Oryzias latipes: one gene and its partner. The protein of the gene in region 1 interacts with the protein of each later gene in a biochemical or structural test. Links are inferred from orthologs where the notes say so. Each region holds a gene or a part of one and is shown on either strand. Other genes may lie near its edges.

Region 1 (4,529 bases):
TCAGTAGAGTAATCTTTAAAAGTTCTCAAATGAAAAGATTTTCAGATGTACAAAAAAAATATGACAATTTCAACATAGAGCATTGAAACTTATAAGGTGAGAGGGTTAACCTGTGGCAGCTGGCTCCAGGTCAGCTGTGCTGGCTTGTAATTCTTCACCACAATGCCCTGGTCCTCCACTGGAGTCTCCACCACCACAAAGTCGTCCAGCAGCTCGTCCTGGTTGGTGGAGTGCAGGCCGCGCTCACGCATCTCTTGGTAGAGGCACGGTGTGGCTGAGGACCAAGACTACCAAATTACTTAAGCTTTACATCTATACATGCATAAAAGTGTTTAATCTTGGGTTCAACTTACCTATATCATAGAACGACTGGTATAAAAGTAATTCTAAATTATTTTACAGTTATACTAAATTGTATTGTTTACACAACAAAATAAGGATCTTAATACATTTAAAGGAAACTATATAATTATTTAGAGCACAATTATTCTAGACTAAAAATAAGATAGTAAAATGGGATACTTTATTTTTCCTAAAAAACAAACAAAAAAGCAGTTTAGAAGTTATCGAGTTCTTGTCTGGATAAGGTTAAAGAAACTGTTCAAATCCAAATATTACCTGTTTAGAAGAGGTTATTCTGAACAGGTAATATTGATCAATAATCATTACAGGAAAGTGAACATTATTTGAAGATTTTGTATGTTTTCTCATCTGCTGGCCCAGAGGTCATTTCTAATGCTGGTAGTGTTCAGAGCAGCCCTCCACTTTTTTCACACCAAGATGTTGGACAAAAATTGTGGCGCTCATGAATAGTCTGCATGGAGACCAACATTTCTACTAAAATTTAGCAATAGTTATTTTCCAGCAATCTGTAGAACTGTAAAGAAATTGATTAAGGCAGAAAAGTGAGACATGCATGAACGCACCATCTTTAAATGATCCCCGATGGTCCTTCTTTCTTCCAAGGGTTCGCTAGAAAGGAAACAACAACAGGGCTAGAATCCATCTTGAGGAGTTTCTTCATTCCCTTAGTTCTATTTTTTTAGTGACTGTGCCTTTTTAGTAATAGTTTTTGTAAAGAATTATCTGAGAACTTCCTCAATACTAGTCTTGAAGACAGGAAGCAGTTGTGGAAACATCCCATCATGCCTGCAACTTCTGAAGAAATTCAAGCGTCACCGCTGTGATCAATGAGATGACCAAAACTTATTTTTATTTTTTATGACTCAGCTTGTCTGGTGGCTGCATCAGAATTAATGATAATGTGATTTTTTTTTTTTTTTGCAGAAAGGCTTTAATAACTTCAAAAATAAGCACTTCCAATTATAATGGTCTGCTTTTCCCACATGAGCAAACGTCTAAACTCAGAAAATTTTGAAAAAAAGAGGAAAATGGCATACCGTAGTAAACTTTCGTCCGACGGTGTGCGATGGACCGGGACTGCTTGCTCTGACCTCATTAACAGATTTCAGGGTGCTGACAGGCGCTCGTTCTGCGCTCATCATGGCTTCAACGTCCAGGCTCGTCACTGCAGCTCTGTATGACCGGTTTCTGCGGTTCCTCCTTAAATCAAAGCCGTCTCCATCACTGTCATAATCCTCCCACGGCACATCAGGCACCTGGGCTGAATGACGGCTGTGGCTCTCGCCACTGGAGTCCCCGCTTGACTTCTCCAGTCTCACTGGGAACGTCACCACAGTGGTGTGGTACCGGTTTTTAGGACGGCTGGCTAATGTTTTAGGGATGAGCTGGTGAGTGCCCATCTTCTGTACTGCACGGCTTTCTGTGCTTAAAACCACTTCATGAGGCTCCATGATCCTGTCATCCCGATCCTCCTCAAGGGTGGCGGGTTCACCTGAGGGGGTAGGAGAAGCTTCTGCTTGGAAGCATTCATCCCCTGGCTCACTTATATGAAGCTCAGTGGCAAGTTGACTCTCCAAAAGCGCAGGGGCCTGGTTGCCGTTGTTTGACTCACTTTGGGACATAATTTCCTCTTCTTGTAATGCTCACTGTTTCTCCCGGGCTCCTCAGCGCCAAGGAAACTGAGGAGGAGGGGAGAAGAACATCTGTCACATGCATAATAAGATCAGAGTGCAGACAGAAAACACATTTATGAAACTGCACCTTCAACTAATGACATGAAACATAGGAAACATTTATAATTAGACCCCAGAAGACCTCCAGTGACCCTCACAAGGGCTGCAAAACTCTGTTCTCTGGTCTCAAGCATTTAGGCTGCAATGGAATGGAGCAGCATGTTGTGTTAGTCAACAAACTGCTGTCAAGAGATTTAACCCATGACTCACAATTCAGCTCTATCCAGCAATTATCCTCATTAAACTGCTGAGACATGCTCCAGCCAAAAAGAAATGACAAGATATAAAGCCAACAATTGCTCCAGTGGTGTTTACGCAGCGGCACAAAACCAGGTAAACCACATAACAGGTATTTTTTAGACTTACTGTAACACTCCAGTTGAGCTGCGTAAATTGAGCTTCTAGGGCACCTTTTCTGCCACACTAATCTCACAGCAAATAAACAAGTTTGCTTGATCTGACCTGACCCGAGCTTACTTTATTGTAAGTTGTAAGTGGGCGAAAAATGCCTGCTGCGCACTCCCGACCCGTCCAGAAAAGTGAGCTGACGCACAGATTTAATCACTAAAATTGAAAAATCTTACCAAAATGAGATCACTGTCAAACAGCAGGCGCTCGTTCCTTGGGAATTCTAATCGGCCCGGTTCGGCGGTTCTGCTTCAGATCACCGGGGCGGTGCGGCGGCGGCAGCAGCAGCAGCTGCAGGTCTTCTCCTGCGCTGCGCTCCTTCACAGACTCACTTCCTCATAAGATTGCAGGCGCTCATACGTCACCACAGGTGAGTGCCAATCAATCAGCGCGGAGCGGCAGTTTGGATTAAAGAAAAAAACAAGTCCTTGAGTCGGTGCCTCACGCGGGTCACCTGCGCACTAAGTCTGACAACTGTCTTCATGACGTGGTTTACCTGGAAGAGCAGCCTTGATCACGGAAAACTAAATTTCAGGTTAAGTGATGTGTGAATGCAAAATTAACAGTTTTGTTCTTCTGTCAACTTTTAAAGAAGTAATTTATTTTCTTTTTCATTTTTCTGACTTGGGCCTGTTTTGACCAGGTTAACGGTTAGCCTTTACTGCCCCCTGTCGATAGACAATAGATATTGCATGTCTTTGCCAAGACGTCATTTCATTACATCGTTCAAGAACAGAGAAAGAAAATCAAATTCTTCTTACATTTAATTGTCTAAATTTTTTGCTCACAAGAAACAGTTTGCAAATAACATTCAGATGATTCTTTATACTAGTGTCATGTATTCTCACCTCATTTGATTCTAGTCTATATGTTGTTTCTACTTGGTAAAAGAACTTCTAAGAGACACAGATTAAATGATGTAAATCTATGTATTTGCTAACACTTCTTAAAATCAAAATGATGAAAAAAAGTAAAACAAACCGTTGGGTTCTTGACTTGCAATTTATAGTTTTATTTATTTTAAGCATCTTTACTTTGGGTCACATGCCCAATGAAAGTATTGCTTTTTTTACCTATTACAAGCTTGCCTCCAGAGTTTATCAATAATAAATCCTTCCTTCAGAGGCAAAATATCAGGTAAACTATGTTGCCAAGAAGTACTTCCAATTCTGATTTTAAAGTCCCACTTCAATCACATTTTGATCTATTCTAAAAGTGGACTTTTAATTGGGATTATGCTATTTCTATAAAAAAAAAACAATTGTTTTTTTTGGTTATGTTTTATTTCACTGTTTAATTGGATTGAGATCTATTATGAGGTATATGTGTCAAAGTAAAAAACAGTAGTAATATGTATGGATGCAAGCTTCTTTGTCTCACAGTCTATAAGCACATGGACACAATAATTTCTCTGACTGTAAGAGTACATTTTAGCTTACTAAGATTGAACTCTAAATTCAACAGTACTTTAAATAATAAAATTGATAAAATGATCACAAACTTTGATTATATCAGTGTCTCATTTCCTGAACACAAGCAAAAACATAAACCCACATTAAATATGTTGATCACATATTTATTGTATTTTTATTTAACAGTCTGAAAATACACTTTTAAATTAAGACAACATTCTATTTAAGCAAGGCTGAGACATTTAATATTATGCAATATTGAAATAATGAAATGAATAAAATCTGAGGGTTTTTATGTACAGTTTGCATACATATATGTGATTTAAAATATCCATAGAAAATTCAAATGGCAATGAGATGAACATTATTTTTACTTTTAATATGGCATCTGATGAAGTGAATCTGAATGTTTCCAAATGATTAACCATATTTGTAATTTATTTAACTGAAAATGTACATCCTGGAAAGAAGATGGAAACATTTTCCAACATCTATTAGGACAAAATGGTCATAATTACAAGGAGGAATGCTTGTGTTGGTAAGATTAACAATCTTCAAACAATAACCAGAAATGTGTCATTAGATCAAAAATAAGCAAAAGGTTGTAATACCT
Region 2 (4,391 bases), on another chromosome or scaffold:
GTTTTGAACACAACAAGGCTTGACGTCTTAGATCTCACCACCTTAGATGACACCTTTAAGATCAACTGCATCCAAAAATTCCTTACTAACCCAGATTCCTTGTGGAATTTTATTCCAAACTATTTCTTTTCTAAACTCGGTGGCCTCCCTGTTCTCCTCCAGTCTAATTATAACATTCAAAAGTTTCCCATTAAATTAGCACATTTTCTGAAGCAAATGCTTCTGGCCTGGTCTCTAATCTATAAACATGCCTTTTCTCCTCACAGCTTTCATTTCTGGAATAACACTAATATTTTATACAAAAATACATCTTTATTCTTCCCTTACTGGTTTAAAAAATAATAAACAATATGTAAATCAACTATTTGACTCAAGAGGGTGTTTAATATCCTACAATCAATTTTTAACTGCTCATAATATTCCAGTTACCTCCAAAGAATTAGCAAGAGTCATGGATGCTATTCCTGAAGGACTTAAAATGTTATTTAAAGGTCTTGTACACCCATGTATTACCCTCACGTTAAGTTTCTTTGTTTGAAACCAATTTTTGTAATTCCTGCTTTACTACGAGACCTTCAACAAATAAAAAAATAAGATCCCGGTTTCAGAAGGATATTACAACTGCACCACATGTGACCCACTATTGGAGAAAATTTGCCTCAGACATTGAGTGGAAGAAAGTTTGGACTTTGTCCTCCAAATATTTTATTTCAAATAAACCTTTGGGACTTTTGCTTTAATCTTCTTCACAGATGCTGCAGCCAAATCCTAACTACACATAGACATTGATAGAAGCGGCTCCTTTTGTAAATTAGACGCTGAAACAATCATACATCTATTCTGGAAATGCCCCCAAACAGCAGCTTTTTGGAAAGACTTCACCTCCTTTATACGATGTTAAATGTATAAAAAATGTGATCTGGTATACAAAGATATTTTGTTTGGTTAAAAATTCACTAGAAAAGGAAAACTACTTAATTAATATTTTAATAATTCTAGTCAAATGTCATATTTATAAGTGAAAATTTTCTACAAAAGGTCCTTATTCAAGCTTTTTATGATTGGGTTAAACCAATAATTATAAAATCTTCTTAACACCAAAGTTGGAAGAACTTGTGATATTTTTTTAAATGTACAGAATAGCAACTTACTGCTTTTACTACTCTTGTTTATACAAAAATACAAAAAATGTTTTTTTTGTTTTTTTGTTGTTCTTTTTTTTGCCTTTATGTTCCCCTGGCCTATTTTGTTTTTGTTACTTATTTTTCTATCGGTGTATTTTAAAGTTGACTCATTTGTGTTATGATCCTGTATATTTTCAATAAAGTTTATTGAAAAAATAAATAAATAAAAATAAACACAATAGAAAAGAATGGACAGACTAATAAATAAATAAATAAAAATTGGAAATTCAAAAGCGCGACGGTCAGCCCATCAAACCCCGCCCGTCTTGGCAGCCCCAAGTAAAAGAAACGAACAACCCCGGCAGCTCGTGGTGGGAGTGACCTCATCACGGAGGCCGTTAGTTTTCGTGTCGAGGCCTGCGAGAAACTCACGCAGGGAGCTTTCAAGAAAAGTTGTCCCGCGGAGGAAAACCGGCTTTTTTTTTTGATTCTTCGTCCGCATTTGCTGCTTCATCCTTTGCTTTTGGTGAACAACAGACTGACGATGTCGTTCGTCCCGGGACAACCTGTGACCGCTGTTGTGGTGAGAAGACGGACTGATTCATTGAACGCCTCTCTATTGTTTGGGACTTTCGCTAAAGTGGATACCGATGCGTACATTAAGCTAATGTCATGTCACGTAGAACCGTTTTAGTCATCTAAATATGACCTTCTAGTAGAATTGGACCAAGAAATCTGGTGTTTATGTTTCAATAATTAGTCACTTTTAAATTACGTGGCGCACAGTAAAACTAATATTTAATGGATTCTTATTTTATATATAAAAAGTAAGTTACCAAAGTAACTAAATAAGTTTAAATATGAAGTCGGATTGATTTTCTTTAGAAAGGGCGTTAACCTGGACGGAATGTGAATCAGTGTTCCCGGTCCGCAAATGCCTCATGGGGGATTCTAAAAGTTTGTTTTGTTTGTTTTGTGAAAAATACATTTTCCCAAAACGCATCAAAAACAGGAAAATTCGCGGAAGCGGGAACTGAGCCGAAGTTTCATCTGTGCGTAGGATTTATTTTTATTTTTATTTATTGTAAATCACGTCCCAGCTGTCATGAAGGGGTGGAGAGGCGAATGTCCTGGATGTACGTGAACGTTTCACGACACGGTGGATTTTACGGGGACAGATTTCAAAATATGGAAAACTTTATTGTCCACTTAGTTTGTAAAATAAGACGACCTTTTAGTCTAAGTATCAAATTCAGAGTTTACAATCTTGTGAAGAAACAAAAGTAATAATAAAGAACAAAGAAAAACGTTTTATCAAGGATTTAAAAATATAAATTCACCACTGGGTAAAATGACATCATCAGGGCCGTGATGAAGATTTTACTAGAAAAGAGCAGCAAAAAAACCCTTTTTTTCTTTTCTTTTATCTTTAGCAGAAATCTATTAATTCTAATACGAAAAAAAACAGGGCAGATTTTATTACAATGCAAAAAGGGCGAGTGTCTGTTCATCATCATCTTCAGTCTGTTTCTGACCAAATATGGAATATTATTTAATAAAATAAAATAAAAATCTATTTATTGTTTTACTAGACGGACAAAAAGTTTCAGGTATTCAGATGAAAAATGGTGGAAGATCCTTGAAACTCAGTGGATTTTATTGAAAAATATAATCACAATTTTAATTAAAAACCAAAACGAAGTTTTAATCAAGGATTCATATATTTCTGATTTTGAAAGTGTGTTGAAGAAAAATAAAATAAAGTTTCTTGAATTCTAATTTTGTTGAATACTCAGTTTAGAATATTTTTTAACCTTTATTTGTTTCATTAATATTTTTAAAGATAGAGGCTTTTTAGTGACATATGTTGATGTTTTTGTTTTCTGAATCTGGAAACAGATCTTTTTTTTTTTTTTTTCTTTAACTTTTGGCTCTAAATGTCAGTCATTCACCCAAATGGAGATGAATGAGTTTCCAACTATTCCCGGTTTCCTTTAAACAGGAAAGAATCGAGATCCAGAAGTTGTCTCAAGGACCAAACCTGGTTCTTGGCTTCTGCATCGGAGGAGGAATCGACCAGGATCCGGGACAGAACCCGTTTTCTGATGACAAAGCAGATAAAGTAAGAAAAGTGGATCTACAGGAAAAGGGACCTTTTCCGACTTCTGTTGCTGTAGAATGAAAAGAATCCTTGATAGCAGATTCAGGCGTGATGTGAAAAAGTTGATGTAATTCCTGAGGAGTTTCCAGAGGAATGTTTCTGTGGCGAGCCGTCGATGACAGACGGGCCTCGGCTCGTCGCCGCGCTCATGTTGTAACTCAGAGGTGGGCACTGAGGGTCGCATGTTTCCCAACACACCCTGCTCTGGCGTGTTCTGATTGGCTGGACACACCTGAACCAGGTAATCAGCCATGAGTAGAGCAAGACTGTCTGGAAATCATGCAGACACACCGGCCCTCGAGGCCTGGAATTGTTGTAACTGATCAAACTCTCAGGCTGCCTGCACAGGTAATCCCAAATATTTCAACACTCCTTAATTCTAATATAATCCCACTATGACCTCACTGGTTTAAAAAATGTAATGATGTTATCGTCTTACAGGCAAAACTTTAGAAAAAGTACAGTTTAGTCCCTAATGATGGTCTTATTTATGGCAGGTGCTCTTATTTTGGAAGAAAACGTCACTTTAGGTGTTAAAGTAACTTTTGGACAGTTACAAGTTTTTTTTGTTTCTCCAAAAATTTGATCGTCACTTTAGTCCAGTGTTCTCAAACCTTTTTTGAGCCACGGCACACTAACCTTTACAAAAATCTCCTTCTCCGGTGGGGCCCTGCGTTGGGTTCTCCCGGCGCGGCGGGGGGGCTGCTCTCCTGGTTGGGCTGGGGCGGCGCTCTCTTTCCCTCCGTGCCTCCCTGCTCTCTGGCTCTGGGGGCCTTGCGGCGGCCCTGCTGGCCCTGGCCTGGGTGGCGGGCTTGGTCGCCCGGGCGGCGGTTGTTCCCTGCCGGTTCCCGTGTGGCGTTGGGGGGATTCCGGCTGCCGCTGCTGCTGCGGTGGGGGTATTGGGGTGGGGATGGCTGGGCACTCTCCCTCCTTCTTTTCACGTTCCACCATCCATTTTAGAAGAACATAAACACTCACCTGAGCACTGGTGTTAGCTCACCTTTGCACTAACAGTTTGCATGATTGAATGACTGAAATATTTAACACTAGTTGGTTTTAAGGCATAAGTATGCGTGTGTGAACACTATCTGTTTTGTGTACATGTC

Evidence for each region.
Region 2: the proteins of rho guanine nucleotide exchange factor 16 (region 1) and tax1bp3 form a complex in vitro, tested with the Homo sapiens proteins (2 studies listed by BioGRID and IntAct, with this or other methods). The link is inferred for Oryzias latipes from reciprocal best matches to the Homo sapiens genes ARHGEF16 and TAX1BP3.

The regions. Positions count from the first base shown.
Region 1 is NC_019865.2:7,811,801-7,816,329, forward strand, and holds the start of rho guanine nucleotide exchange factor 16, read right to left. Parts: upstream 3,096-4,529; 5' UTR 2,681-3,095; intron 2,043-2,680; 5' UTR 1,986-2,042; coding exon 1,401-1,985; intron 973-1,400; coding exon 927-972; intron 275-926; coding exon 111-274; intron 1-110. UniProt on the Homo sapiens protein: Guanyl-nucleotide exchange factor of the RHOG GTPase stimulating the exchange of RHOG-associated GDP for GTP. May play a role in chemotactic cell migration by mediating the activation of RAC1 by EPHA2.
Region 2 is NC_019862.2:30,694,346-30,698,736, forward strand, and holds the start of tax1bp3 (tax1-binding protein 3), read left to right. Parts: upstream 1-1,506; 5' UTR 1,507-1,668; coding exon 1,669-1,707; intron 1,708-3,126; coding exon 3,127-3,246; intron 3,247-4,391. UniProt on the Homo sapiens protein: May regulate a number of protein-protein interactions by competing for PDZ domain binding sites. Binds CTNNB1 and may thereby act as an inhibitor of the Wnt signaling pathway. Competes with LIN7A for KCNJ4 binding, and thereby promotes KCNJ4 internalization.